4 linked regions of the Neodiprion lecontei genome follow. The protein of the gene in region 1 binds, or shares a complex with, the protein of each later gene. Links are inferred from orthologs where the notes say so. Each region holds a gene or a part of one and is shown in the gene's direction. Other genes may lie near its edges. The genes, in order: eukaryotic translation initiation factor 3 subunit I, eukaryotic translation initiation factor 3 subunit F, eukaryotic translation initiation factor 3 subunit B and eukaryotic translation initiation factor 3 subunit D.

What was found.
Region 2: eukaryotic translation initiation factor 3 subunit I (region 1) and eukaryotic translation initiation factor 3 subunit F share a complex: the UniProt entries of both Drosophila melanogaster proteins name them as parts of the eukaryotic translation initiation factor 3 (eIF-3) complex. The link is inferred for Neodiprion lecontei from reciprocal best matches to the Drosophila melanogaster genes eIF3i and eIF3f1.
Region 3: eukaryotic translation initiation factor 3 subunit I (region 1) and eukaryotic translation initiation factor 3 subunit B share a complex: the UniProt entries of both Drosophila melanogaster proteins name them as parts of the eukaryotic translation initiation factor 3 (eIF-3) complex. The link is inferred for Neodiprion lecontei from reciprocal best matches to the Drosophila melanogaster genes eIF3i and eIF3b.
Region 4: eukaryotic translation initiation factor 3 subunit I (region 1) and eukaryotic translation initiation factor 3 subunit D share a complex: the UniProt entries of both Drosophila melanogaster proteins name them as parts of the eukaryotic translation initiation factor 3 (eIF-3) complex. The link is inferred for Neodiprion lecontei from reciprocal best matches to the Drosophila melanogaster genes eIF3i and eIF3d1.

What each region holds. Positions count from the first base shown.
Region 1 is NC_060261.1:376,107-383,844, reverse strand, and holds eukaryotic translation initiation factor 3 subunit I, read left to right. Parts: upstream 1-2,909; 5' UTR 2,910-3,304; coding exon 3,305-3,307; intron 3,308-3,583; coding exon 3,584-3,830; intron 3,831-4,298; coding exon 4,299-4,579; intron 4,580-4,664; coding exon 4,665-4,865; intron 4,866-6,058; coding exon 6,059-6,307; 3' UTR 6,308-6,358; downstream 6,359-7,738. Other genes in the region: poly [ADP-ribose] polymerase, read right to left, coding at 412-643, 1,367-1,687, 1,845-2,051, 7,452-7,738. UniProt on the Drosophila melanogaster protein: Component of the eukaryotic translation initiation factor 3 (eIF-3) complex, which is involved in protein synthesis of a specialized repertoire of mRNAs and, together with other initiation factors, stimulates binding of mRNA and methionyl-tRNAi to the 40S ribosome.
Region 2 is NC_060265.1:19,771,566-19,778,207, reverse strand, and holds eukaryotic translation initiation factor 3 subunit F, read left to right. Parts: upstream 1-2,561; 5' UTR 2,562-2,613; coding exon 2,614-2,722; intron 2,723-3,026; coding exon 3,027-3,196; intron 3,197-3,366; coding exon 3,367-3,549; intron 3,550-4,153; coding exon 4,154-4,369; intron 4,370-4,537; coding exon 4,538-4,711; 3' UTR 4,712-4,794; downstream 4,795-6,642. Other genes in the region: 46 kDa FK506-binding nuclear protein, read right to left, coding at 290-371, 605-1,583, 1,667-1,756, 1,978-1,987; uncharacterized protein LOC107226989, read right to left, coding at 6,228-6,642. UniProt on the Drosophila melanogaster protein: Component of the eukaryotic translation initiation factor 3 (eIF-3) complex, which is involved in protein synthesis of a specialized repertoire of mRNAs and, together with other initiation factors, stimulates binding of mRNA and methionyl-tRNAi to the 40S ribosome.
Region 3 is NC_060266.1:1,378,948-1,388,194, reverse strand, and holds eukaryotic translation initiation factor 3 subunit B, read left to right. Parts: upstream 1-2,668; 5' UTR 2,669-2,727; coding exon 2,728-2,863; intron 2,864-3,302; coding exon 3,303-3,498; intron 3,499-3,647; coding exon 3,648-3,960; intron 3,961-4,042; coding exon 4,043-4,399; intron 4,400-4,552; coding exon 4,553-4,695; intron 4,696-4,824; coding exon 4,825-4,960; intron 4,961-5,059; coding exon 5,060-5,255; intron 5,256-5,455; coding exon 5,456-5,636; intron 5,637-5,915; coding exon 5,916-6,156; intron 6,157-6,294; coding exon 6,295-6,403; intron 6,404-6,508; coding exon 6,509-6,603; exon of another isoform or gene 6,604-6,798; intron 6,799-7,054; 3' UTR 7,055-7,736; downstream 7,737-9,247. UniProt on the Drosophila melanogaster protein: RNA-binding component of the eukaryotic translation initiation factor 3 (eIF-3) complex, which is involved in protein synthesis of a specialized repertoire of mRNAs and, together with other initiation factors, stimulates binding of mRNA and methionyl-tRNAi to the 40S ribosome.
Region 4 is NC_060261.1:37,934,702-37,941,380, reverse strand, and holds eukaryotic translation initiation factor 3 subunit D, read left to right. Parts: upstream 1-2,701; 5' UTR 2,702-2,803; coding exon 2,804-2,977; intron 2,978-3,053; coding exon 3,054-3,099; intron 3,100-3,317; coding exon 3,318-4,783; 3' UTR 4,784-4,992; downstream 4,993-6,679. Other genes in the region: leucine-rich repeat-containing protein 45-like, read right to left, coding at 1-1,932, 2,446-2,543; aurora kinase C, read right to left, coding at 5,362-5,460, 5,590-5,980, 6,107-6,241, 6,415-6,679. UniProt on the Drosophila melanogaster protein: mRNA cap-binding component of the eukaryotic translation initiation factor 3 (eIF-3) complex, which is involved in protein synthesis of a specialized repertoire of mRNAs and, together with other initiation factors, stimulates binding of mRNA and methionyl-tRNAi to the 40S ribosome.

The sequences.
Region 1 (7,738 bases):
GCTTTGGCAATGGTAATTTAAAATTCTCAATATCAGTTGAAAATATTAAGCTTGACTTTTGATACACTCAGAAAGAAACAAACCCAATATTCTTAGGTGCAAATTTATATTCTATGTAATGTTAGGGTGTGACTGAACCGAATAGAAAAACTGTTCATAGTTTCAACATCAACTGATCGCTACAGCATTTAATCACCACGATTCATATTTGGATACAAACAACAATTCAATCTAGTCTCCAAGCAGTCAAACCCTGTTATGATCCTGACACAATATATTTCCTAAACGATCAAGTAACCAATGCTCTACCTGTCGCAATACAAGTACACATTTTTGATAAACTGGTTGTAAATTCCTAAGGGGATGTGAAAACTCGAGTTTGTAGATCAGGTGTCACATTCTTGACAGTACCTTGTCTTATGTTCAGTTTGTCTTCAGCAGCTCTCAATTTTTCTTCGAAACGATCTAAGTCGCCTACCGTCATTAGGTGTGTAACGTTTCCAATCTTACGGCCTTTAATTACAGCGTCTGGGTGTAAGATTATAATTACCATGTCTATTTGAGGTCGAAGTATCAACTCTTTCACTTCACCTTTGGAGAGCATGTGATGGAGAAAATCATTCCAGGACACGTACACAATCTGCTAGACAAGTTATTCAAGTTATGTGCTTCAGGTTTTACATATTTAGCATTTTCATATACATTACATATCTCGTATAATGACAAGGTTCAGACTGGTAACATTAACATAATAAAACATTCTGAACAAAATAGCTGTTTTCCAACTTCAGATTGACTTTGAAGGACATGAGTTTTCAAAATATGTATTTTTTCCTTTACTATGCTTCACGAAATTCCAGACAAATGTAAAATCGTAAATTTATATTTTTGTCATAAGAGTGCATTGTTACATTAATGCTACAAACCTTGTCATTGTATAAACAGGGTCGTTCGTGACTATTGTCCCATAGGCTGCCAAGCAACAATGTATTCCTTGTTAAAATCGATAACTAAAAATTGGGTTGCAATGCTAAGAAATTCTTCGGTTTCGAATAAAAGCCATTCGATCAACCAACTTGGTAGCATCAGAATTGATTACCACACACAGGGATGATAAACCGGGATACTACGCAGCGTAGTGATGAAATAACGATCCACCAGTCCCGTTCTGGGTCATTAAAAGCTTCCAGATTGGTCAATTTCAAACAGCTGTAATTCGCGTATAGAAAATTTTTTATAGAAATGCAATAGACGTTTCAGTTGCAGATTGCTACGAGAAATACGTTGGTAGTTTATAAGACTGTACTCCAGGACCACCCTGTAGTTTCGGCAAGAATTGAACCATGGGATCTGCATATACACTCACCTCCCGTTGACTATTATTCGGTGTTAGCATGGTCACCAAGCTGACAATCAGCCAGAAAAATGTAAGCCACATTAAATACTTGGGAACAAGACCAGAAACTTTTTCATTGTCATTTTTATTCGGATTATCTCCTGAGCTTTGAGATGAGGGCTCTCCAGCACGGCCGCCACTCGCCGCCTTATTGCTATTGTTCGTACCTGTGGTACAGAAGCATCTGGCATTATAAAAGCAGCGTAGTTTTGAATCACTATCGAATCCGCTGCGTCGTAACACGGTATAAATGGCGCATACCTCCTTATGCATTCGCATACGCATTTGACCCTAAAAAATAATTACAGTCATTTCATCGTTCTCCCACATCCTCAAATATTGCATCTTAAAAGAATTGCTGAATACTGAATTTGATCTATTTATTTCTCATAACTATCGATATGAGACTAGGAAAATACAAGTCGGGCATATTATATGATTTTCTTACCTGAAACGACAGGCATTGTGAGATTCGAAGGGCGCGATTCAGGACTAGTCTGAAATTAGGTCTACTCAGTACCGACTCGTATTTTCCCGCAACAGTTGACGCCAACTTAAAAATGTCATTCACCGAAGGTAAATATCGTTTCGGACATTTAATAACGCGCTGCATATTCTCCAATTTAGTTTTACAATCACTGTGACCACGAGTATGCTATGCAATGCATGAGAATAGGTTAGGGCCCGGATTGTAATCGAACACGGGCATACATATATTTATGTTACATAAAGGACAAAACTACAACAGACACTTGATCACGCGCGACGAATCTTTTAATATTTCACAAATGAGAAAGTGATTGATAATCCGCTTATACGACTCCTTACGTAAATCTCAAGATAAACTTTATTTTAAGAAACATTCTCATATTTGTGGCTATGCTGAAGCCCGAATAATCCGCAGACGACAAACCATTTGAAGGATATCAATCTGGGGTGTATTCCGAAATCACGGTCTTAAATACAGGTCTTGCAACGAAGGTAGTGGGGGTGGCTCATTTCACGGGCGCTGATTTATCTCACTTTGCGGTCGCCAGGCCGGCGTTGTGATCGAGGGATGGATAATCAACGCGTGCGCAATGCAGCGCCAACCTAATAATTATATTATTATTGTTGTTATTACAAGTAATGAATTGTTATGAATGAAAGTAGTTAATATAAATATTAGTGTGATATAATTATTATGAATGATATATGTATGGAGACTAGAGGCAAAGAGTATCATTACAGTATGACGCACGCGCTGATTTTAGGTTATATGCTTCATTTCAAATATAATTTCCATGGCACATTTTCATCCCTACCCCACGTACATCCCTAGATAACAGCGCCGCGACATGGTTATTTCGAACACTTAAAACACGGACAACAAGAGAACCACGCCGCTCTGTAAAAAATTGGCTTCGTTGCAAGACCTGTATGTAAGACCGTGCCCAGGCCGCAGTAGTCGCAGTCAACAACGTCACAAATTTCATGACGTCACTGACTGGCGGCAGTAAGCTGTCGCGCGATTTCAGAATGCAGTTGCCAGTACTTGCAGTACTGCGGGTATATTTCGGAATACACCCATAGGCCTCCTTACCTCTACCCTCCATAAAGTCAACGTATTAGATTGTTCACAGCTTCGAATTAAGGGCACAAGCTGCACGAAGTTTTGCGACGGTTTCAGCATTCATCAAGAATAGTTGAGCAATATGAGGACTTTTATAACGAAAGAGTTTCCATCTACCCAATGAGGTCGGCCATCTTCTACAATATCTAGCCAATGCTGGGTCATTTCGTTGACGGTTTGTGGCTCTACTCATCTCTTTCTGCCGTTCGGCCAGGGCGCGTGTGAGACGTTCAGCTGGTGCACTAGTCGATTTTGTGGCAATTTTGGAGCGCTGATGCGATATTAGTTTAGATAAAATGGTAAGTTTCTGTTCTTAAAATAAATCTGTTCTATCATTATGCCAGATCATACCTCCCCTACGCGTGCACACACATAAACACGTGTGAAAATTTGCCTTCCCGTGCCTAACCTCAAGTTGACACTGCAAGATATCGATTCAAGTACCTATATATCTTCGGTCAACGTTAGAGGAGGCTTCTTGTGAAATGATGTGTGTTTCATATCAGACGTGGTTATATTGAATGTGTCTTTTCGAATCTTCGGATTCCATTGTTTGTGATTGCATTGTGTTTTAGAAACCTCTCATGCTTCATGGGCATGAACGTGCCATTACCAAGATCAAGTACAACAGGGAGGGTGACCTCTTGTTCTCTGCAAGTAAGGACAAGAAGCCTAATGTCTGGTACTCCCTCAATGGAGAACGCCTTGGAACTTTCAACGGTCATAATGGTTCTGTATGGTGCATCGACGTTAATTGGGATACTACTAGATTCTTATCTGGAAGTGGTGACAATACTTTATGTGTATGGGATTGTCAGACTGGTTAGTTACCTCTTATCGTTCTATTCCAACAGACTCGTACCATATCTATATGATGAAGGTGATGTGAAACTGGTCATTGCTGGATTTGTAGTATTCTAACCAGTGAAAGTATTTGAATTTTATCCTAGAGGAGCTGCGATAATTTTGTCGATCTCTGTCTGTTGGAAAACTAATACACTTGCAAATTTAAGATGTTACTGAACCTAGCAGGTGATAACTGCGAGCATCATGAACAAATCAATAATATATAATCAAATATCCTTTATAATCTGTTGAATTGATACAATGATTTGAGACATGAATGTGAAATTTTTCCAATTTCTTTGTCTGACTTAGTTTTACCTACTAATTCCGGCAACATGAAGTCGAGCAAATTGGTTTAATTAATCTAAAACATGTAAACTTATGCTATTTTGAGATAGGTTGAATTTCACGCAACAACGATTCTCTGTATTTTTCTCGATTCAGGAAAAGTTGTTGGTCAATTGGAAACAAATAGTTCGGTGAGGACATGTAGCTTTAGTTATTCCGGGAATCTTGCTGTCTATTCAACCGATAAAGCTTTGGGATACCAATGTGAAATGTTCATTATCGATGCACGAGACGTCGTTTCCAAATCATCACAAGAGAATGCCATACGACGAATACCTATCAACGGCCCCCGAATCTCTGCTATTCTTTGGGGTGCTCTTGATGAAACCATCATCACTGGGCATGAAGATGGTGAGATTAATCTCTGGGATATGAGGGTGAGTTGTGATTCACATGACACAAATATTAATCTTGAATTAAATTACAATTCCTCAGTTTACTTTATTTGTAATATATTCACAGACTGGGAAAAAACTTAATTCTATTAAAAGTCACAAGAATCAGATCAACGATATGCAAACCAATAAGGATGGGACCATGTTTGTGACAGCATGTAAGGATCATACGGCCAAATTGTTTGATAGCGAATCTCTGGTGTGCTTGAAAACTTATAAAACCGAGAGACCGGTCAATTCCGCAACAATATCCCCAATTTTGGATCATGTGAGTACGCAATTTTATATAATGTCTTGAGCAGGTGCAGCAGCATTTTAATACTTTCCTGAATATTGTACAAGATTAAACATTTTTTATAATACCCGAAAAGTAACGATATTACCATTCTGACACTTGAGAGAAGGTCGGAGCACTCCCTTTTTTTCTGCTAACTTTAGGGGAATAGTTTACGATTGTTGACAAGTGTGTCGACAACATAGGTGACATTAAATAAGGTGGTGCAAGCCACTTACAAATGAGATTGTGATAATACCTCAATTCCTTCTGTATCGATGCAGTACTTTTGCTTCAGTTGCGAGCATACTTAGCAAAGTGTTGTCCCGATCGTAGCTACTTAGAAATTGCATACCTTATGTCTAAGTAGCACTAACTGGTGATCTTATTTTTTTGGCCCTACTAAAACTTGACACTGACTACAGAACATTCTGCCTTTTAGTACACTTCTATGTGTGGACTAAGGTATGCACAGTATTCCTATGTTATATTACAAAAAAATGCAAAAATGTACATATTATGTACACCCAGTGAAGTCGATTTGGAATCCCTCTAATTTTAGCAGCTCAAATATAAGGTTGGCAGCTCTAGTGCCCAACTTACGCCTATTAAATAACATGCGGTATCTGTTGGATGAACCGTAGCAATTAGTTAGAAGCTGCCAGAGCCAACCCTATTTCTGACCCGCTTAAACCAGGAGGTTCAGAATCGACTTCACTAGTGTGTAAGATTCAAATTTTAAATGTCGTTCAATTGAATATACTCCTGATTTGTCGTTTGACTTGTCAGCGATTTTGGGAATGAAATAAAATTTTTATTAAAATTAAACGATTGGAAATTTGATGCCATGCAGCTTGGACAATTTTCTACTCAAAATGCAACTCTTTGGTTACAAACTGAAAAAAAAATCGTTCACGTAATATCCAAATTTAGGAGGCGTGGTTAATTTTTTTATTATATACTACTCACTAAACATCCATTACAAATGACTTGATCAAGTTATAACAATTCGTATTTAGTGAGTTGGCAGAAAAAGCAAACTCCCTGTAAATATGCAAATTTGTAGAAAAATGACTGACTGATTCTTTTTATGTGAAATTGTCGGCAAGACATGTAAAATTACATCCGTACGTAGTGTGGTTGTGTAAAATGCGAATGTAACAGATCGTACCTATATCCATTTTCAGGTGGTACTGGGTGGTGGCCAGGATGCCATGGACGTGACCACGACATCGGCTCGTCATGGAAAATTTGATTCACGATTTTTCCATTTGGTATTTGAGGAAGAATTCGCTCGACTCAAAGGCCATTTTGGCCCTATCAATTCTTTAGCCTTTCATCCTAATGGACGGAGTTATTCTACAGGCGGAGAAGATGGATATATTCGTATCAATACATTTGACCAATCTTACTTCGATTTTCATTTTGAATATTAATCAATAATTGTACTACCATTGTACTAATATATATCGAATCTAAAAATTTTACACAGCACGTGCTCTTCATTTATTCCGCGTAATGTTTCCTCAATATTTCGAATCATTTTTCGGAAAGATAAAAACCATGAAGGAGGATGTGAGACGTTTCCAAGGAAATGCCTGTATCAAGTTATCGGTGTCAGATATGTTGCTTAATTTTTCTGTACGTACCAAATTGTCATATTGCATGAATTTTTTTTTTCGTTTGCTTGCATCTGATACACTGACAGATTAAAATTCGTTAATTTTGCATGTCACATATCTGTATACCTATGTGAAATTTCAAGGAATAAGGATACAATGGTAAAGTGGAAAATGAAATTGGCAACAATTGCAACATAAAATACGGTTTTAATATCTATGTTAGTATGATTTATTATTGAAAGTAAAAATCGTCTCGTAGAAAATATGGCTGATGATTATTGTATAAAAAATATTGGACAGAAGGTAACTTCGGAATTTATCACTATTCTCAAATAAGGATACATACCTATGAGAAGTAGAAACCATCATATATACCAAGTATAACTATATGCCAAAAATAAAAAGATGAAGAAAATATAGCGCAAGAATCAAATATGAATTTTCATATCACTGGTTTGGTCTGAAGTCCTAATTTATTTTGCTCTCAATAACATTTCAATATCGTTCCTGATTTGAATGCCGACAATGGATTCCCTTCACTTATTTATCATAGCAAACTAAAAACTTGGCAATATTTTTCAAGGTTGAGTGTCCCATGATAATAGCACTTCTATGTATACGTAGATGTATTTGAAATTTAATTTATTGTAGCCCAGTCTTTTGGTTGAAGCTTGGGCCTAAACTTGACTGATACTCGGTAGCGTAATCAGTGAGAAAAACATTTGCATCAGGATTGGACTGATTTACTCAGTTTATACCTATGCTCAAAGTATAAAAAACAAAAACGAGTAGACTTGACAAACACAATACAACTTATTATTACGCATAATTCATTATCAAATCGGTAGGCCTTATTTGGAAGTTTGGCGACCTCAAATGGTCTGTGTGGTATGCAAATATCAAACTACTTGTTTGAGGTAGGGTAGCTGGCAAGTAACATTGAAAGTATTTCAGCTTATAGTTTGTACCGGAAATTAGTTTTGACCAAATATTGTACTTGAACTTGGGCCACATCATATACAATATATTCGTTGTACAAAAGAGAAGTTGACTTTGAAAGCTTAGCTGGTACTGGCTTTCCGTATGGCACCTGAACTCCATCACTTGTAATGTGAAAATCGTCTGGGTCTGGTTGAGTCTGACCCAGACCCAATGTAGAATGTTTACCTTTTGGTAATTTTTCAACGTAATCCGCTGCGTGTCGCTCATAGGTATTGCCCAGAGCTACCTCGCACAGTAGCAACA
Region 2 (6,642 bases), on another chromosome or scaffold:
CACATTTTTGGAAAACTACATTGGTAATGTCATAAGTTACACTGTTTTGAATATTATCAAATCTGTCATCACGTTCGTGTTTGAATAGATTCAGAATACGATTGTAACAATGGTAGTTATTTAATAAAAACTATTGTATTAAAAATAAAACGTACATGCAAGTTTTATATCTGAAAAGTTTACGAAGTATCACCAGACATGTCGGAAATGTATGAGGTACACCATGGAGATAGTAAGAGTAATTGTTTTTGAAATGTTCATCCACATTTTTCTTGAGTATACCCAAGTTCTAGTGGACATTCCTAAGGTCAACTTCAAACACAAGTACACTGTTGGGTGGAATAGCTGGTGGTGAACCTTTTGCTCCATATCTAGAACAAGATAAATAATTTGATTGCTCATCAGTTTTAATGTTATGGAAATAGTCATCAGTCGTAAATATTGTGCTCGTAAGACGTAAGAGATTTGCTCACTAAAAGGTCTTCAAAGATTTCAGGAACAATTTAGTTCAGATAAATCACGAATAATGCAAGAACTAATACATATTGTAAAATATAAGTCATTCAAGTTTCAATGAACAGAAAAATCCTAAATTGTTACTTACGCCAAAGCTGGTGGGATTGTAATGCGTCTTTTCCCGCCAGTCTTCATTCCTACAATACCGATATCCCATCCTTGAATGACTTCATTTTTCCCTAGACGGAACTTGAATCCATCTCCCTGACTGCATGAATCAAATTTTTTCCCATTTTTAAACCGTCCTACATAATAAACTGAAACAAATTTTCCAGCCTTTGCCGGAGGGCCAGACCCAAGTGTTAAATCCTCTATTTGTACACCACCTTCAATTACTCGTTTTTTTTGTTCCTGCTTTGAAGCTTGGACTTGCTGTTCAAGTTTGTTTTTCTTTTGTTGTTTAGCTTGCTGTTTCTGATCTTGTTTGACATCTTTGCCGTTCAGTAATTTCTGCTTTTCTTGCTTTTTATTCTGTTGTTTTTGTGCTGGTTGTTGTTGTTGTTGTTGTTGTTGCTGCTGCTGCTTTTGTTGTTTTTGTTTCTTTGTGGTTGATGAGGGTTTGACTACTTCCTCCTCTTCCTCCTCTTCATCCCCCTCGTCGTCATCATCATCATCATCATCATCTTCATCCTCCTCCTCTTCCGCGTCCAGTAGCGCACTTTGCAGTTCATCTGAATCACTCCCATCATCTTCTTCATCTAGTTCATCATCGTCATCACCTTCGTCAGAAGACTGTTGTTCTCCCTCCTCCTTCAGACGTTTCAAATGATTCTGAGATTGTTTAATGGAATCTGTGGCCTTGCGTTTACTTGGTTTACCAATGAGCTGTGGAATGTCCTCCTCTTCTTCTTCTTCTTCTAGTTCATCATCTAGGTCATCTTCTTCTGGTACTAGATATCCTGTCAAATGTACAAGACCGCTACCATTGGAACTAAAGGCTATTTCGGTTCCTTCTTGAAAATTGAGATCCAACGGAACCTGCAGCGCAGCTCCTTTGTTCAGTGTGCATAAAAGAAAAGTCCGATTCTCGTAATGAAGCATTACTTGAACAACCCCAGTATACGAGCCTTGAATAAGAACCGCATGATTATAATAATTTGAAAAATTCATATTGGATTCGGTATCGAAACGAAAAATAGAAGATTCCTACCTCCAGTATTTGTGTCCAAGCTCGCCATGGACACGTGAAACGACCGTTCTACGGTTTGCGTGTACCGTTTATTCGGCTCTATAATTAAGCCTGAAACAAACATTAACATACTTTTAGGTGGTTATATTTATTGGTCATTTTTTAATTCGGAATGACGTTAGACGAGGAATTTCATCCTCGCGTATGGAGCTCTTAGCCCGCACGCTGTGATAATCTTTATTGGAGATCACATGGCGACGCCATTCTTGAAATAACCGGCAACTCAGATCTGCTCAGATCAGGGGTAACACATGGCACTTGTTGGTACTTACCCCAAAACATATTGGCTATTTTGACCTACAATAAACGTTGCAATAAATTTAATGAATCAACAATCGTTTTCACTACTTCAATAATATATCACCGAAAATAAAAGAAACGCATGCACAGTTGATCAACGGTTTCCCGGTGCTCGGAGTTAGATCCTACTCGCGCCAAGATGTGATTGAACCGGCGGTAAAGGAACAGGCCATGAACGATTGAAGAGACTAGATAGGAATTGGTCATCATTTTTTTCATCTGGTACGATGAGTTCATGTTGATTCCTCGAGAGGCAGTACCAACGGTACCCTGATGAAATGAAAACCAAATCCAGTTTTTTCATCTGTAATGATCAACAAAACTTATTTTACAATATACAGAAATATTGACCATGCTGATGAAACATTTTTTTGGCAATTTTCGCATCACAACTTCAGTATTGTTTCAAATGAGGGCAGCTATTTTGCGGGCAAAACAACATTAATCACCGGACGTAAATGAGAACGAGAAAAGTGAGACACAACAGTTCACAACTGTAATTGACTAGAGGTAGCAGGATTCAGTGTTTGGGTTTACGATCTAACAGCGTTATTGTAATTATAGCCAACGTCTCTTGACCACTTTTGACCAACTTTGACGCACCAAAAATGGCGCTTAACCTCATTGTCAAGGTGCACCCAGTTGTTTTATTTCAAATAGTCGATGCCTACGAGCGACGTAATGCGGATACTCACCGTGTCATCGGAACCCTGCTTGGTAACAAAGAAACACAGAATAAACTTTCGACTACTCGTACGGTTTCTCAGAAATTGTGATAGCGGATAGACGAATGAACGTCGGACGTCACCTTCTACATGTCACATGTTTCCATATTATCAATCCTTTTAAACATTATAATTTATTAACGTCACGTCTACTGCAAATGTGAAATTTCAGCGAAATCTAAAAAGAATTGAATTCCCTAAAAATTTCTATACTTTTTCCTTGCAATTAGTACTCAAATTGTCATGTAAGTTCAGGTATTGTCTCGACAGAACGTATTTATCATGATTTTTCATAGGGACGGTGGAGAAGGGCATTGTTGAAGTAACAAATTGCTTCTGCGTACCTCACAAGGAATATGCAGATCAGGTCGAAGCCGAGCTGAACTACGCAATGGATCTGTACGACTTAAATCACCGAGTAAATGCCCAAGAAAGCATAGTGGGTTGGTGGGCTACTGGAAAAGAGGTACAGATGTCAAGAGTTGTGGTACTTTGCTTCCCATCTCAAATATATTTACAAGATGATAATAATATCCAAACAGTGAATGTGTTGGCTAATTTAATCAGACTTGAAAAGTATGCTCTTGATTTTAGCAACATATGTTTATTCATCAAGTTTTTTTCCTTGTGATCCAGGTTACCAATCACTCATCTGTCATCCATGAGTATTATGCCCGAGAATGCAATAATCCAGTTCATTTAACTCTGGACACAACAATGGCCAACACTACTAGAATGGGTATCAAGGCATACGTATGCGTCCAATTGGGTGTGCCAAATGGCAAGCAGGGTTGTATGTTTACACCTGTCAGAGTTCAGGTAAAAAAAAAATTTATGCAACTAGTAATTTAGCAATAATAGGTCAAGGTTTTATGAATTTTTACTTGTACTATGTTTCTGTGAAAAAACTAATTTTCATTATTCATCTCTTGGAGTCTATAATACTATATTGTGTTAGAAGTGAGTAATTGTGAAGTTTGCACCCCGAACAACAAAGGCGAGTGCTGCAGTTGCAGGAATACTAGTGCAAATGCAGCATGAGCCAAGGCGAGCACTGTAATAATATGATTAAGCAAATTTTTCCAATACCTGTAAAGGAAGTTCGATTTAAGAAGCACCAAATGAGCCACTCATAGCATATCAAATTGTGATTATAGAACATACGCTTAATGCAAGACACTGCATTGAGCAACGATTGAGTTGGTCGAAAGTACGCGTGTGCCCAAGAAATCCCTAGTATTTGCGCAAAAATAGTTTCATCACACTGTTCAAAATTGGGACACTTTACGTATGCCCCATAGGCTTCAAAAATTTAACCTGCCAAGTAGGTGTCGAAAAAATTCTTGTCTCACCTTTTTCAGGTACAGCTGCTGGTAGTTGCTCTGTTTGGAGTGGTAATAACTTGTACTTTTACTTACAACAGGTCACTTCTTATGAACCTGAGATCGTAGGGCTACAACTATGCGCTAAAACACAAACTTTACCTCCGGGTCAAGCACTTTCAAAGCAGGGGGGAGTAGAACCAATGTTAGACCTGGCACAAATAGCAGAAGCTAGCACTAAACTACTGACTTTGGTAGACCAAGTCCTCAATTACGTAGATGATGTTTTGGCAGGCAAACAAATTGCTGATAATCAGGTAACAAATTGACGTAGATAGCAGTAGGAATGAAAATAATTCAAAATGTACTGGGCAATATTTCACTTTCTATAACAAGAAATTTGGATGACCTTTGTACATGTTCGCAAGTACTGTACAATCAAGTATTGAAAATAAACAATTGAATAAAATAACATAAAATTACAGGTTGGGCGAGCCCTGTTAGATATGGTACATTCGGTACCTAAAATGTCAGCTGATCAGTTCGACCAAATGTTTAACAGCAATGTCAAGGACCTCCTCATGGTTGTTGCTCTTTCCCAGTTAATCAAAACTCAACTACAGCTGAACGAGAAGCTCACCCTTCTGACTACCTTATGAGCCAAAACTAAGCTCACCAAATAAACAGCACCAAGTAAAGCTAAGAGTAATGTATGGCTCCAATAAAAATCTGTAAAAACAAACTGATGTAACTAAATTGCTTAATCTAGTTTTTTATACATATATACATAACACATATATTTTACAAAACATCACAGTAGAAGATTCTTGAACGTTTGAAACTGTGCTTATTTCTACCATAGCTTCCAAACGTCGGAGGTCGTAGTTTGCAGAAAACCGTCTTGTGTTTTGTTTTATCACACAATGTTTTGTACAATTTGCTAATATTGAACCATAGTATATTTGTACGACCAAAATTACAAACTTTTCAAATCTTGCATATACGTTAAACCACATTATCACGCCTTGGAGCTTGTATTTTTTTTATATCTCTTTGTGACTGTATAGAACAAGGGCAATTTTAAAATCCTGGAAATATCGATATTGGTTATGGATTTAATCCAGTAAGTAAGTTTGTAAAAACACTTTCATATATCATCCACTAACTCTCTTTCAGAATTTCAGTATAACCTAATGTTGTCAGTAATTTGATTACTGTGAATTGTACCGTGCTTCTTCATTAGGCCTGATCAGGGAAAATCTAGATTCAATCGACAGGAAGGAGGAAACTACCAGTCCGCATTGAGTGCACTTCTGTTGAATTCTCAATTTTTTGTTTATTTACTTAAGATTCAACTCGATTAACGATGACAAATTCAACTAGAACAATTCAAAAAATTTTGCGAGTACCAAATACTGCGAATAATCCTACGTAAGTTTTCCATAGCTAGGGTATTTAAAATATGTGATAAACATTTTTTGTGAGTGTCCAGAAATTTAATCAGATTAAAGTTACAAATATCAAAGATCTTTTCATTAGCTGTATTATCGCATAATGATTTGTTCTTGGTTCTCCAAACAATTATTGATAATTGCTAAGCTGAACAGCATTCGATTTAACTTTCCAAAATATCCATTAATTTAACCTGTCAGCCAACTGATGAAGCGCAGATAATTTACTGACACAAATAGCACTAATCATAGCAGGAGAATACGATTCCATTTTTCATTTAAAAATACTTTTTTCCTACTATAAGCAAACGTTAGGGCAGTCAAGATGATAAAACTCCGAGAAATTTTGCCTGGTTTCATTATAAGTGAATTGCAAATTTCGTACTGAAATCGGGATGTTTGTTGCAACACATTTAAGACGAAGTATGTAATTTCATACAATCCCTTGTTCGCTCATAATGAAGCATCTGCGACAAAGTTGTTTACATCCAATAAATTGAACTTAGTCAGGGAAGCGCTTATGCTGAACAGAGGGTCAATTCGCTTATGGCGGACCCGCTTATACCGAAAAAGTACTGTATCATGGAGAAATAAAGTAGATCAAAATTCATCTTTTTATGATATCACAAAATCTTTCCAGCACAAATGGTAAGAAAAATTGTCTAGTATTACACTTTTCGGACCAACGACACTTGCGATTGATTGGTAATAAAGACTGAAGTACTTAAGAAAGAATGCCTTTGACTGTAAATGAGGGAATAGTTTCAACAACATTTCTGAGACTATCGACTGTGCAAGCATAAGATATACCAAGAGGCACCGAATTAGCTGACCATGTAAGCCATTGAATCTGTGAACTTATGTCAGAACAGATATAATAATCACTGGTGACTGTAGTCAGATATGGGTTATTGACGCCAATGAATGCTGTGCCAAGTTGTGTTGTTTCATTGTAAAGGATTTTCCAAAAGAACTTTGGAACAGGAATAGCACGATTTCCAGCCTCATCAGCATAGAGATAAAGATCAGTCAAGACTCCATCAACGTTCGGTAACTGAGCAATGCCATAAACCCCGGTATAAACTGTCAAATCTTGGTAAGTGTTACTGGCGTAATTACGTACGTCATTTTCAAGTGAA
Region 3 (9,247 bases), on another chromosome or scaffold:
AATGCTTAGAAGAATATGAAAAAATTAAAAAATCGTTAAACCGCGCTGAAATATTTGTCACGAAAATTTTTCTCATACTGTGAGAGATCCTTCCGCGCAACCGATCGTTGTCACTATAGACTCTAAAAATTTTGTCTCGAACGGACAGTTTTAAATTCTATCTATTTTCAGTGCGTTTATTTTTCAACTCAAATATTTATTCATGAATTAAATACACCCGAGTTGATTCGATTTAAACTCAAAACCCGGTAATCATATGACACAAGTAGCATATGTGTGCTATTTACAAAGTACCAAACATTTAACTGCCTTATGGAAATGCAATTTGTAATGTCTTTCTGCACGTATTAACAGGTCATACTGGAACTTAACTGGGCTGCTATTGCGTCACTATATCAACTTTTAGTTATTTTTTTGCCTATGAGATCGTTTTTAGTCATGTTCTTTTGGATTTTGTCACTTTTACTTTTTTACCCTTAGATTTTAGAAAACATTATCAGAGTTTAGAATTAATCTAACTGAACACTGGAACTGAAGAAACTCCTTTCCTAAGATTTTTTTTTATTGCCAGTTTTTGCTCTATTGTTGCGTATGCAAATAACAATTTCATAAGGTAAAAATGAAAATTTACAAAGATTAGAAAATAGAAGGCTTGCAATAGCGAATTTTCAAATTCGCAAAAATCTGTTTTCGAATGTAGACTATATTTTGAGTTATCTGCATTCTAGCCTTCTGAATTTTGAAATTCTGTAAGATAGATTTTCGCGGATTTGAAAATTTTTGATTACAGACTCAGACAAATAATGTAGTTCATAAAATTCTATTTATTTTATCGGAACTATCCTTTTCGATTTTTCTGTAAAGTTTCGATGCAGACACGTTTAATAGGTATACAATTATTTCACCCTTAAATAAATTTTTACAGATGTTTGGCGAAAACTTGGAAGATCGACCACTTGGACTTCCACTTTGACTCACTGGAAATTATGGATCATGTCCCGCAGAGGAGAGCATCCCAAATGAATATTGACTTTGTGACTGTACCCCCGTTTGTACCAGGCAACCAAATACTCCTTTTTTAACCCGCGACATATCCATGTCAACATTGTCCTCGAGTCCATGCCGTTCACTTACACTTGGTAACTCTGGACCATGGATGTATTTTGACACTTCTACAAGATGTTCCTGATTGTTATGATTGTTAGCCACGACTCTTCTCTTGGACATCGTTGATACACCTGGAATTACGAAAGTTTCACTGTCATTAACATCAGATATGCAGTTAATTGTTTCTGGTTCTTCTAAGTCCAAGTTTTATGTTCATGAGCCAAACATTTCCGTTGAACCGCAAACACGTTGAAAACTGTTTGGGGTTGAAAAGTATCGTTGTTTTCAGATTTATTAGTGGATCAGCAAACTAATCGCAAACAATGTATCGTTGATTGAAAGTTCTTTTCTGGGTATATCTACTTCGTCCAAGAATCCCGACATCGTCGCCTTTACGCTGGAACTCAATCGGCTGCCGCTCAACGAACGGAACTGAAGTAACAAACTAACCAATCTTTTTTTTTCGAACAACTCTACGAAATATTTAAGAATCTCCTTGGCGCTACTTTGTAATTGGCTGGGAATAATTCTGGAAAATTATTTCTCAAATGTTTACCGAGTAGATTCATATCTTCTACTCCCCGTCTGTATCAATACGAAATAAAAATTATTTCATTCTTATCACGACAATGATTCGATTTTCGGTACATAACTTGACAAGTTAAAAAAGTTGAGGCAATCAAAAGAAGAAACGATTCTTTCACGGTGTATATTTTACTGCGAATAGGTTTAAAAAACATGGGCAGACAGTGTAGAGAATATTTTGAACTGTGTAATAAATGTAGAAATATTTGTAAATGAAATTAGTTAGCTATTGTACGGAAATGTTTTCGGCAACTGTTGGAATGCGATACACTGAACAATTACGTTTTTTATGTATAGATAATATACTCTCACACTTGACACTTTTCACATCACCAATCACGTGCAGTCGCTAAAGTGATGTATTCAAAATTCCATAGTCCGAAGACACATTTTCCGATAATACAAGGTCCTCTAGTTTAACTTCTTCGTTAGAATGTGTTATATGTATTAAATTGTCGCATTTACAACTGTGAAATGATTTTCTGCCTTTTTTCACAATAATTCGACAGATCCGTTCCTATTTCTATCCTTATTTCAATTGACTATTCACACTATTCACAATGCTTGAAATCCATAAAAATTGAGTGTACAATTAAAACGTTTCCCCGTGCAATGAAAAATAAAGAAAACATACTACTTAATTGAATGAATTAAGGGTAAATTTTCCGGCGATGTAATAAATTCAATGAATTATTTCAAAGTAGAATTTTTTGTGACGAATGTACAGAAAGTCAAATAAACTCCGCTTTAGCATTGTAACTGATAAGACAGAAAATTATGTTAAATATCAACGTTGATGTGGATCACAAAATGTAATAGAAATTGCCTATCTACAGGCTGGTTGATTCTATTGGGTGGATAAAGCAGACGACTCGAAGGTGTTAGCAAAAGCATCGAGTTGAATCGCTTCATTCGATATATCGCATGTGCGCAGTTGAGTTGCGATAGATCGAATCAGTCAGACGGAAGCGTTGATATACGTCTTCTGCGGCCACTTTCAGACGCTTCAGTTTGCTTTAGTAAGAGGTTTCCAAGATGGCAAAGAAACGGGAGGCGGATAAAACGCCGCATAACGATGATCCAGGTAAAAACGACGATGAGAATATCAACGGGGATAACGAGCCAAACTTCAGCGATCCCGAGGGATTCGTCGACGATGTAACCGACGAAGGTATTTCTACTCTTACATTTCACATGCGCGTCACTCGTGTCATCCCTATCACCCCTCGGGGCTCGGTCACGGCATGGCATAGGTAGCATGGCGTGGCACGAAAGTTATCACATATGCACACCGTCTCCTAAATCTAACCATCCCGTCTCGGGATCTCGACAATCTTCCGTACAGTCTCAATAGCTTTTTCAATTTATTCGCCGGTTTTAGCATTTTAACCTCCGAACTTTGGCGTGATATTTTTCCTTTATACGTGACACGGTTCAACTCTGTACTTGAGCGTCAATTAACCTTCCAAATTTTGTATTGGCACCCATTCAAGATACCATTTTGCATTCATAACAGTCTCTGAATATTACTCGACACCAATCTCCGATTCGCCTTTTAATTCTAAATCGGGTCTGCTATATTTCTATTAATCTTTTATTCCTTTTCCTAGAACTACTTGGCGAGCTCATTAGGCAGAAACCGTCTGAGACCGATGGGGTTGAAGCTGTCATTGTCGTCGACGGTGTTCCGCAAGTTGGACCCGAGCGTTTAGAAAAACTCCAAATGGTGATCAGCAAGCTGTTTGAAAAGTTTGGAGACATTGTCAACCAGTGGTATCCCAAGAACGAAGATGGCTTGACCAAAGGGTAAAGATCATAAGACCATAAATTTTAATTCAACAATGCTAACCTAGCAGAAAAACAGAAACAACTTGTCACTTGTTTTGTAATTATTAGTACGAAGCTTCAATTTTTCACTACTTTGGTTGTTTTGTTAATTAACACTGGTATCACAGGTACATATTCTTGGAATACAAAAGTCCGGTGAACGCATTAGCTGCTGTCAAGTCGACAAACAATTACAAGCTCGACAAGATGCACACATTTAAGGTGAATTTGTTCACGGATTTCAAAAAGTTTGAGGATACACCGGATGAGTGGGAACCGCCAAAGCCCCAGCCGTATACATCGAGTGGTGACCTTCACTACTATCTCCTTGATCCTGATGCGTACGACCAATTCTGCGTTCTCTCTGGCAATGGAATGGCGGTTTGTGTTCAGATATGGCAAAATTCTGCACCTGAACCGACGCTGCTGGAAGACCGACCGGTAACAGTTTTTCACAGTTTGACTAGATTAATGTGCAAGTCGAAATAAACATGGTGTATTCCCCTTTTCTAAACCTTTTCAGCGATGGACAGATACATACGTCAAGTGGTCTCCATTGGGCACGTACATAGCTACTTTCCACAAGCCAGGAGTCGCGTTGTGGGGTGGTCCGAAGTTCGAGCAGACGGCAAAGTTTGGTCAACGCGGAGTTGAGTGCGTTGACTTTTCACCTTGCGAACGTTATCTTGTCTCATATTCACCCAGGGCTGAGAGCAGCGTTGATCAGAAGCGGCTTGTTGTCTGGGATATTCTCTCCGGTCAAGAAAAACGGGATTTTAATCCTGACGGGTCCTCGGTGTGGCCCATTTTCCGCTGGTCACACGACGACAAATATCTCGCTCGCATGGGCGAAGATGTACTCAGCATCTACGAAACTCCTGTAAGTTTTTTTTCTACTATTTTTTTTTTTTTTTTTTATCCTTTTGCATACCAATGTTAGATTTTTTTTCATCAGATGGTCAATTTTGTTTCGTGCGGATGTTCAACTATGGTCTATTCGCTTTTAAGCATTTGCATTTATTCGATTTTTTAGTCATTTCGACTACTCAACAAAAAGAGCATCAAGATACCAGGAATCAGAGACTTCAGCTGGTCGCCCACTGATAATGTTCTAGCCTACTGGGTGCCGGAAGATAAAGATGTCCCAGCCAGAGTCACACTTTTGGAAATTCCCAGGTACAGCACAGAGTTCATAGTCAGAATTGAAATGCTGCTTCCATTTGTTGGTTAACAACCAAAGAACTTATGTTTTGTTCCTATACCGATTCGCGGAGTTCATGAGTGTTTCTCTTTTTCCCGTTACAGCCGCAACGAAATTCGTAACAAAAATCTATTCAATGTCGCCGACTGTAAAATTCACTGGCAAAAATGTGGTGACTACCTCTGTGTCAAGGTGGATCGTTTTGCGAAGAGGAAAGAAAAAACTGAACAAAAATACACTGTAAGTATCGCAAGTAGTAAAAGCTCGTTCAACTCCTCCCAGTTGCCTAAATTATAGTATAGCATCGGTATTTAATTTCTCCATTTGATTTATTTTCAGGGAATGTCGTACAACTTTGAGATATTCCACATGCGAGAGAAGCAGATACCGGTTGATAGCGTTGAAATGAAGGAACCGATTCACGCATTCGCCTGGGAACCAGTGGGTAGCAAATTCGCTATCATTCACGGTGAAATACCCAGCGTAAACGTCAGCTTCTATGGAGTACGCCCTGGACTGCATCCTGATCTTCTCAGTAAGCTTTTCAATCCAGTTTCAATATTTCAGAAAAGTAATTATATCCAACTAAATAAGACGAAAAAGTGTGTTGTACATCTCTGAAGATATGTATATCAGTTCATAGAACAAACATGTGTTCTTCAGTCTTGTAATGACTTTTACTGATGTCTTAGAATTAAAAGGCAAAGTTTTTAATTTTTTCTAACTCTTGTTTAGAGAAACTCGAGAAGAAGGCGTGCAATCACCTGTTCTGGTCTCCTGCTGGCCAGTTCATTGTACTTGCTGGTCTTACCACCATGGCTGGTGCCTTGGAGTTTATTGATACCAACGATTTTACTATAATGAACACCACTGATCACTACCAGACCTCTGACGTTGAGTGGGATCCTACCGGACGGTATTTAGCTTCGTTTATTCTTTATCATTCTTTTTATTTATTCTCTCGTTATGTATTTAATGCGGGCTTCGTTTTCGTTACATGTTATTTAGTAGAATTCTTATTATTATTATTATTCGTATCACTGTTAAATCAAAGATCTTTTACTGATTGTGAAGTTTACTTCAATCTCTTTACTTTGGCAAAATTTAGTTTTAAAGTAAGCTTAGAAATGAAGCATAGAACTAAAAGGACGTGACTAAATGACCCCAATCAAAAATGAAATACGGCTGCTTTTAGATACGTTGTGACTGGAGTGTCGAGCTGGAAGACAAGCGTCGACAACGGATATTGGATTTGGTCGTTCCAAGGTCGTATTTTGAAGAGAGTTAATTTGACTGCGTTCAATCAGCTTCTATGGCGTCCAAGGCCAGCGACGCTTTTGACCGCCAAGCAAATCAAGGAAATTCAAAAAAATCTGAAGAAGTATTCGGCACAATTCGAAAGCAAAGATCGCATGAGACTAACTCGCGCCTCGAAGGTAATATTTTCCTATTCCGATACGGAATATTTGTGATCAAATAGTGACTTTACATTTATTCGTATAGTTCTTTTTTTCTATTGTGACATTTAAAAACTACCCATATCCTTGAAATGATTTCTACCTTTCTTTTTCCAGGAATTGATCGAAAAGCGTTGTACACTGATGAAAGAATTCGAAGAATATCGATCAAAACGTATCGAAGAATGGAACAGCCAAAAGAAGCGTCGCCTTGAACTACGCAACAGTATGTATTACCGTAGTCAAAAGTAAAGATGGAAAATAATTTATATTGATCTGCTAGTATTTTCCTATATTGAATGACGTATTAATTTCGTGTTTTTCCTTCTAGATATCGACACGGATGAGCTGGACTCAGATACGAAGAATGTTGAGGAGGAATCGATCGAGTTTTTCATCAAAGAAGAGACATTCGTCATCGACTAAGAAAGTATCCTAAGAATTGAAATAATTTGGTCTTGCCAGACTTGGAAACCTCTGTGTAAGACCGTTAAATTGTTGGATTTCATGGTGTATTGTACCTACTAACTCTGGAACGGAGGTGAACCACGCTGCAAGTGGCATCATTTCCATTATAAAGCATCATTGATGGTCTTTAACTATTATAGCAATTGCGTAGAATTTGTATTTTATTATTTCTGTATCATCGTGTCATTTTTCCTCGATGATTTTACACCACGTAAAGAACGCGGCAAACGTAGTACAATCAAATTCTATCACATACCTTATAGAATAGTCTGTAATACTTGTAACTGCTACAATGATTGTCACACTGTCCATTTTTTTTAAGTCACACAGACTATTTTTATTTATCTAATAATACCCTTTCGGAAAGCCATTTGAAATCGAACATTGTTTTATGAATACTTTTCTATAGAGTATCGTCGAAGACGAAGTAAGGGAATCATCACGACGAGGAATCTGTGACTGCGTCAAAACTGAAACCCCATTCCTTTCCTCACAGCTCACACTTGCGAATCAGCGGAATTGCCTTCGGAAGGTAGGTTTAGTTTATTTATTTATAGTAGGTTAATTATATTTAAAAAAGACTGGTTTTTGTGCAGATGCTCTTGCCGGCAGTTTGGTTGTTGAAAAAATACGCGTCATGCATTTAATCTGGGGTTTTTATATTTCATCAATTGTTGGTTTTCCACTGTGTATAGAATTCTGCAGATGATTTTTCAAAACAGAAATCATATATTTGTTCTTTTTCTTCTTGGCATAATATCCATTCTGTTCAAATTATTATCAACTTTACTATTATAACAAGCATCGGTTGCTATTATATGGAACGGGAATCTTCGAAAAGCAATAACATACAGAAAGAGTCATAAAGACGAAAATGTGTAAAGTTATGTTCTTACTATATATCTACATATATGCTAACGAATGTATTAATTATTATGCATAATGTATAGTTTGGAGGTACATAAGTTGAGAAAAAGGTCTTGATTTTAAAGTTTATGTATTATATATTATGTTATAGCTCAATGATCCTTAGATCTCTATGTATTATACAATCATAAGAATAATGATGAAAATAAAAAAGGAAAATAATAGCCTTCTAGTGTATTTGCTTAGTCCAAAGGGAAGCGCCTAATTATAGGCAACCAAACTTACATGTACGCGACACGGCCATCAGGCGTAAGGCGTGCCTTCGATCAGGCTCCTCGGCTCAGATGTTCTCCTAATACCAGGAGTAATTTTTCGCTGCTATTTCTCCGATCTAATTGAACCAAGTGGGAGCGCCTAATCATAGGCAACCAGAACGGTACGTATGTGACACGGGCTTTCAAGCATAAGGCGCGCCTTCGATCAAGCTCCTCGGCTCAGATGTTCTCCTGATACCAGGAGTAATTTTTGGCTGCAATTTCTCCGAGTTGCTTAGTCCAAGTGGTAGCGCCTAATCATTGGCAACCACGTTTATACGTATGCGACACGGGCTTTCAGGAATAAGGCGTGCCTTTGATCAAGCTCCTCGGCTGAGATGTTCTCCTAATACCAGGAGTAATTTTTCGCTGCAATTTCTCCGAGTTGCTTAGTCCAAGTGGTAGCGCCTAATCATAGGCAACCACGCTTATACGTATGCGACACGGGCTTTCAGGAATAAGGCGTGCCTTTGATCAAGCTCCTCGGCTCAGATGTTCTCCTAATACCAGGAGTAATTTTTCGCTGCAATTTCTCCGTGTTGCTCAGTTCAAGTGGAAGCGCCTAATCATAGGCAACCACGCTTATACGTATGCGACACGGGCTTTCAGGAATAAGGCGTGCCTTTGATCGAGCTCCTCGGCTCAGATGTTCTCCTAATACCAGGAGTGATTTTTCGCTGCAATTTCTCCGAGTTGCTTAGTCCAAGTGGAAATTAATTTTTATGCATAAGAAATGAGAGAGTATATTTTGAGCTAAAATTTATTTCATTTTTACTATACATATATTATATGTATAATAGGGTGTTTCAAAATAAAAAAATTTACGATTTTCCAACGAGCCACACCCGAAATAGTTTAGGTAGAAACAAAAATTCTGGCGAAAGATGAGCATTGTCGGTTGATTTTTAATCCTTTTTTCCTTTTTATCGAATTTATGATGGACAATTGTTAGTAATTTTTTTTCGTGTTAAACACTTCTTCATCTGAGCTATCCATAATGAGTAATCAAAAAGTAGTGGCAAATATGCATGATTATTTATTGTGTGCCCATGACGACTGAGACAAATCGTGGTCATCAGATAATTGATAAATATCTCTTTTTCGTAGAAACAGTATCGGCGGGTGGTCACGCGACTATAGTGGGCGCATCTCACGGTAACTGCGCCGCGGTCCGCCGCGGTGCAGTGGGTTTCAGCCTTAACTTTTGAAATGTCCTACCATTTCCGAACACCTGCAACCATCCTATTTACCTATATTACTAGATTAGCTATTATATGAAAAGAGAAGAATTATTCACTTCGAAATGGGATTCTATTCGACGCGCGCTCGATGTATTCCATAACATTAGTATTCCTAATTATTTCAACAACATTTCATTTGCTCTCTCGATCTTGAATTTTCGTAGGCATATAACCAAAACG
Region 4 (6,679 bases), about 38 Mb from region 1:
CTTTCCCTGAGCGTGTCCGCGTGACTAGATCGTATGTCATTGATTTGCGTGTTCAAGGCAGTTATCTGCAAGGTCATTTTTTGAATTTGAATACTTTGTTCCTTGGCCCGTTCCCGTTCTTCCGCCAATTCCTCTTTAAGTCTACTGGTCTTTTCCTTCTCTTGGATCAGCTCATCGTTGAGCAATTCATACCGTCGTTGAGGCTCGACGAGTTCGCTTTGAAGTGCGACGACTTGACGCTGTAAACTGCTCACTGTGCGTTGGCTTTCCTCTATCTTTTCCTCCAGATTTTCTTTCTCTTCTTTAACTCTATGTAAGGACTCCTCTGACCGTGAGTACCTCACGTTTAGGTGCTCCATCTCATTGATTTTCGCCTTCAAAGTCAACTGAGATTCCGTAACGTCCCTGAGTTCGCTCCTACTCTTTTGTAACTGCATCTGGCAGTCTTCTAAAGCTTGCGTCGTGTCTCTCAAGGTATTCTTAACAATGCTTATCTCGTTTTTGTGTCTGCTCTCACGCTCTTTAATCTCTCTTCTCAGTCTGTGCATCTCTGTTTTATCCTTTAATACTAGATCCTCGTAAGTTTGTGTAATCGAAATGATTTTCTCCTTCAGCGATGATATTTCCAACGAACTCCTGTGTATGTCCCTCTCATACCGGCGGATCCTTACCTCGTATTCTTTTTTATGCAACAACGCTTTGTGGTACGCATCTTCCAGTTCTTTGTGAACCTTTTTCCAACCCTCCTCAATTTCCTTGTGATTTTCCTTTAAGTCAAGAATCTCTCTTGTTTTTTCACCGGTTAGTTTATCGCGTTCTTCTTTCACCCGTTCCAGTTCTGTCCGCAGTTGATCGATTTGCGACCTCACAGCTTCGATTTCAGCAGCTTTGACCCCGACTTCGTTCGTCAAGAGATTTATCGCGGTCGTACGGTCCTGCAATATCTGATTGAGTTCTTTTATTTTATTCGTCGCAGCATCGGCGGAACTCGAGCATATTTTATTATTCTTCCTGGAATCGTCCCCGGAAATATCGTTCCGTGGCTCATCTCTTTTCAAATTTTCCTCCGCGGGAACGAGCAGGTTTGTCAGAGAATTCGTGTCCGATTCGTTACTAGTTTTTTCCATCGAATCATCGGTCATGCCGCTGGGAATTTCTTTTTTAAATAATTCGACGCGTTTTTTCTTTTTTCTCCTGTATTTCAGACGGCTCTGAATTGTGCTGTCGCTGTCCGTGAACGAGACGATCTTCTCTTTATTATCTGTCACCTGCAGAAACGATTTGGCTTTTTCGATTTCTTTGGTCATGCTTGTTACAGAAATCATTCTTCGACTCTGATTGCTACGGGTTCGCTCTTCTATCAAGTGCACTATATCCGCGGGTATACAATTCCCGTGCAGATTTAATTTCACTATGTTTTTGTTCTCTTGCATTCCGGTTAGGAGGAGCTGCCCTCCCTGAAGACCGATAGTGTTCCACGCGAGGTCGAGAACTTTCAAAGACTTGTTCAATCTCAAAACTTTGCACAACGCCTCGGCGCAATACGGGGATATCTGATTATAACGTAAATCCAATTCCTCTATGTTGTGATTTTTAGTTAAACCGTCGCAAAATTTGGTAAACGAATCAACGTGTGAACCCAAGCTGTTCCATTCGACGTTTAACAACTTCAGCGTATTGTTGTGAACGAGTACTTGTCCTAGCTGGGCAACAGTCGGACCGTGGATGTTGTTTCCTTTCAAATTCAGCGACGTCATGTTCGAGCCCTCGCACAGAGCGTTTAAAATACAACTGAGACTCTTCGACAGATTTAGCATGCAGTCGCTCAGGTCCATCCGCTTTATTGCTGAACTAGACATCAATACTTGAGCAATTACTTCGCAGATCGGTACCAGTATTGAAACGCGGGAAAGCTGGAGCTCTCCGGTTGCACTGAAATCAAAAAAAGTATGGTTATATATTATTTCAAATAATAATTATTGCAATAAGGAGCGTAGTGTATTTTCGTCGCGAATGTTCGTCAGGTTCCATTGATGTTTATATTCAAACCGTCGGAAGATTCGAGACAATCGTTATAATGCTGTAGCAGGAAAATTTGAATAAAGGTTATTGAGAATTATACAGAAAAGTTCAAGTCGAAATTCAAGTTTCGCTGGCATAAGATAATTTCGGTTTGTCGAGTAATCGAGTGAAGTATTGAATCGTTGGTAAGTGATCCGTCAAAGTACTTTTATCCAATTGAAATTCATGAAAAGTAAAAAAATATATATTCAGGCGCGGGCCCTGCTGAGTAGCGGCCCAGAAAATCCGAACCTGGCGATTAAAACACCTGGAAATGAATTAATTCCATGCAAACGTGGCGCCGAAGCTTGCTGCGGTCACCGCCGGTAAGAGAAATAGCGGCACTTACCGACGTCGTGTCGGATGCAACAAGATGCGACTTACCTAGCATTTTTGATAGCTTCTAAGACATCGGAAGGTGGTTTGAGGCCGCGTTTTTCACACAGTAGTACGAAGAGTTCGTGATCCTTAAGCATCTTCATGCGCTTGCTTGATAATTTTCACTAACCAGAGGCCTTGATTGTCGAGTGATAAACTCCGAGTAACCGCTTTTTGATTTTGACGTATCGTCTCATTTCATATCGATCGGCGTCAGAGGTTCGTACCGACGACGCCGCGACGTCGCCACCATCGTTTGGGCACAGCACGGTCTTCCGGCCGCTACACTGTTTCCGGAACAGACGCGGCTGTCTCGCGTGTGTTCCCATTTTCATACATGCCTGGTTAAATCGCGTCTGCAATAATGAGCGAGGAAGGCGGACAGGTGGAAGACGATGTGAAGAAGATCGACAAGGTACCTCACTTTGTCGCACCGGCTGTACAAAACAACTCTACGGGATGGGGTCCGTGCGAAATGCCGGATCAATTCAAGGATATACCCTATCAACCGTTCTCGAAGGGCGACAGGCTCGGCAAGGTTTGTCGGCATATGCTTTACCTCGCGAAATTTACTACTCAAAAATTGTTACTCATTTCTCCTCCCTATCTCCCAGATATCGGACTGGACCGGAGCCGCCTTTCAGGATAAAAAGTTCACTAGTAAGTTGACAGCCACCACGTCACTGCTCACTTTAACCTAACATTTCCTTTTCGGATCTACAGATATTTTCCATTTATTCGTGTTTGAAGTATTATTCAATTAAATGAAAGTAATAAATGATGAAACCGTGAATTCTGAGTCTTCGGAAACACTTTACTTTCTAGGCTAGCCTCCACGATTATTTGAAATTAATTACGATTCGTTCGCCCTAATTTAGACAAATATGCGTCTCAGTTTGGCTCTGGCAGCCAGTACGCCTATTATCACGAGGAGGATGAGTCTACTTTCCATTTGGTGGACACAACCAGAGTGCAGAAGCCTCCGTACCAACGTGGTAGATTCCGCCAGAATCAGCGTAACATGAGAGGTCGTGGTGGACAGCGAGGCGGAGTTAGTCAGATGCAGCAGCTAGGAAGGATTAAGCTCAGAGAACGCGATCGAAAGGGACAGCCCAAGCGCTGGGGTCGCCAGCAAGGCTTTAGAAACCATAAGAATCAGCCACCGATCAAAATCCGTGATGCTTCTGTTACTGTCAGGCCTGACTGGGTCACCATTGAGGAGATGGACTTCCCAAGATTGACCAAGCTCTCTTTGCCTGGCGTCAAGGATGTCGAGGACATACTTTGCTGCGGGTCTTTGGAGTATTACGACAAAGCTTACGACAGAGTTAACGTCAAGAATGAAAAACCACTGCAGCGTATCGACCGTATATTCCATACTGTCACGACTACGGACGACCCGATAATTCGTAAATTGTCCAAGACAGAGGGCACTGTATACGCAACTGATGCTATTTTGGCTACAATCATGTGCTGCACCCGCAGCAATTACTCGTGGGACATTGTCATTGAAAAGATTGGAGACAAGCTGTTCTTTGACAAGAGAGACAATACAGAATTCGATCTTTTGACAGTAAACGAAACAAGTGTCGAACCTCCCCAAGATGACGGCAATTCTCTCAATTCTCCACGGAATTTAGCTCTTGAAGCTACTTTTATCAACCACAACTTCTCCCAGCAAGTTCTTAAATCAAACGAACCGAGATACAAGTTTGAAGAAGGTAATCCGTTCATCTCTGAAGAAGAGGAAGGTGATGTTGCCAGCGTTGCTTACCGTTACAGGAAATGGGACTTGAATAATGGCGTTGTGCTCATATGCCGTTGCGAACATGATGCTGTCATGCAAGGACCAAACAACGAACTGCAGTTCTTAACTATCAAGGCCTTGAACGAGTGGGATTCTAAACTTGCTAATGGTGTTGAATGGAGACAGAAATTGGACACTCAGCGGGGTGCAGTTTTGGCTAATGAGCTCAGAAACAATGCCTGCAAGCTCGCCAAGTGGACGGTACAGGCTCTGCTCGCAGGATCTGATCAGTTGAAATTCGGGTACGTTTCTCGTGCCATGGTACGCGATTCTAGTAAGCACGTTATCCTGGGAACACAGCAGTACAAGCCGAATGAGTTCGCGACGCAAATTAATCTGAACATGGACAACGCATGGGGTATTCTGCGTTGCATCATTGATATTTGCATGAAGCAAAAAGACGGGAAATTCTTGATCATGAAAGATCCGAATAAGCCTATGATTCGGCTTTATGATATTCCCGACAATACTTTCGAGAGTGAGGGTGAAGAGGATGAAGATGATGATGAACCAGGAAATGACGCTTTTCAGAGTTAATTGGAAAGTGTAACAAATCTTTGTCACTAATTATCATTTGATCTGTCTCTGATAGTTGTGCCACAATTTCACCAACCTGTTGTAATTCAATATCTTTAAATTGTGTCTGAATCGATTCAGTAATCTGTGTACGAATTTAATCATTTGTATTCCTTTGTAAGGGCCAAGGTTTCGTAAAGAAATAATAAAAAGATCATAAACAGACTAAATGAACATTTTTATCAATCATGTGGCTCACCGCTTACAAAATTATTCACTAAAGATGGGAGGAACTAATCAATACACAGGCACCTTATCTAGGAATGAACATGTATTTTTTCAAATGATTTATCAACTTCGCATGTACGTGTGGAGTAACAATATTAATATAATGATAAAATGTATCATATAATTAACGATCAAGTACCTTTAATTTGAAATCTGAAATTAGTTGCATTAATAATTCTAACTGTGTGCTAGAAAACTAGATATCTCAAATTTAAATTATGCATCTTTGATACTTAAACATTATACCGTCAAAATAATATTAATTAAAAGATGAATGATTCATCGCATCACAATTTATTTATTTGCAAATCTCATTGTTTCGTTGGTTCCATGGTTCGGTTAGATACAATCCAGGGATGGTTTAAAATGCCGGCTAACGATAATCGATGTTCAGGATTCACAACCAGTAGCTACAAAAGAAAAAAATGAAGGTGAAACTTTGCAAATCAAGAGATTAAAATTGAAAACAAGGCTTTGATGATACATATTATGAATTAATGGTTTAAAAAGTGCTGTCATTATATCTCATTCATGTTCACCTGAGAAATGAGATTTCGGGCTCCGTCGCTGACGTAGGAAGGACATCTATAATCAGCTTCTTTGATCTTGTTGTAGGTGTCTTTGTATGTTGTAGCGAGAAATGGGGGTTTGCCAACCAGACATTCATAGCAGAGTACACCAACTCCCCATACATCTACAGTGTGGTCGTGTGTCGCACCTAGGACCATTTCTGGTGGTAAATAGTCTAAAGTTCCACACAGAGTTTCTCTTTTGGACCCAGGTGCGTGAACCGACCATCCAAAATCAGCAATTTTCAATTCTCCTTTACTTCCAAGCAACAAATTTTCAGGCTTAATGTCCCTATGAATAACTTTCTTACTGTGACAGTACTTGAGCGCATCAGCCAACTGAGAAATGTAAGTAGCCGTTCTGCAAATGATGAATTATTTCAGTTTTGGTGTTTAATTGCTATTATACATCATTGATCGCTATATGTACTATAACACCATCTGGATAATAGATGATTAAAATGAATATTTGTAGCAAGGTCCTTACCTCACTTCATCAAATCTTTCATTTGGTTGTGCTTTCAATTCCTTGAATAATTCTCCTTTCGGTGCATACTCCAAGATCAAATAAATCCTTCTGTCGTCATGGAAGTATCCATACATTCTCAAAATATTTGGATGTCTGGAAATAATGATTGCGTTATCAATAGCTGTGTGGTATTAGAGCTTTTTTAGGGGCGTTGCGCTCAGAATTGAATTATATAAAAACAGTTCTTATGGAAAAATATCAAATATACTTAACAGCCTAACTGAGACATATATTAGACATAAGACATCTAAAATCAATGCTACTACCTCAGATGCGTTTGAATTTCTATCTCTCTTTTGACTTGATGTTCAACTTCAGCTGTTTTTATCTGAGCTTTGAAAAGCACCTTCATAGCTATAATATACTTGGACTTTTTCTCTCTGGCTAGATAAACATTCCCAAATTTTCCTTTTCCCAAAGGCCGTCCTATATCGAAATCAGCAAGAACCCATTTCTTATCATTTTCCGAATCGTTCTTGGCGTTAGTTTGAGCAGCTTTGACCTTCCCTGCAGATTTTGAATCAGCTTCAG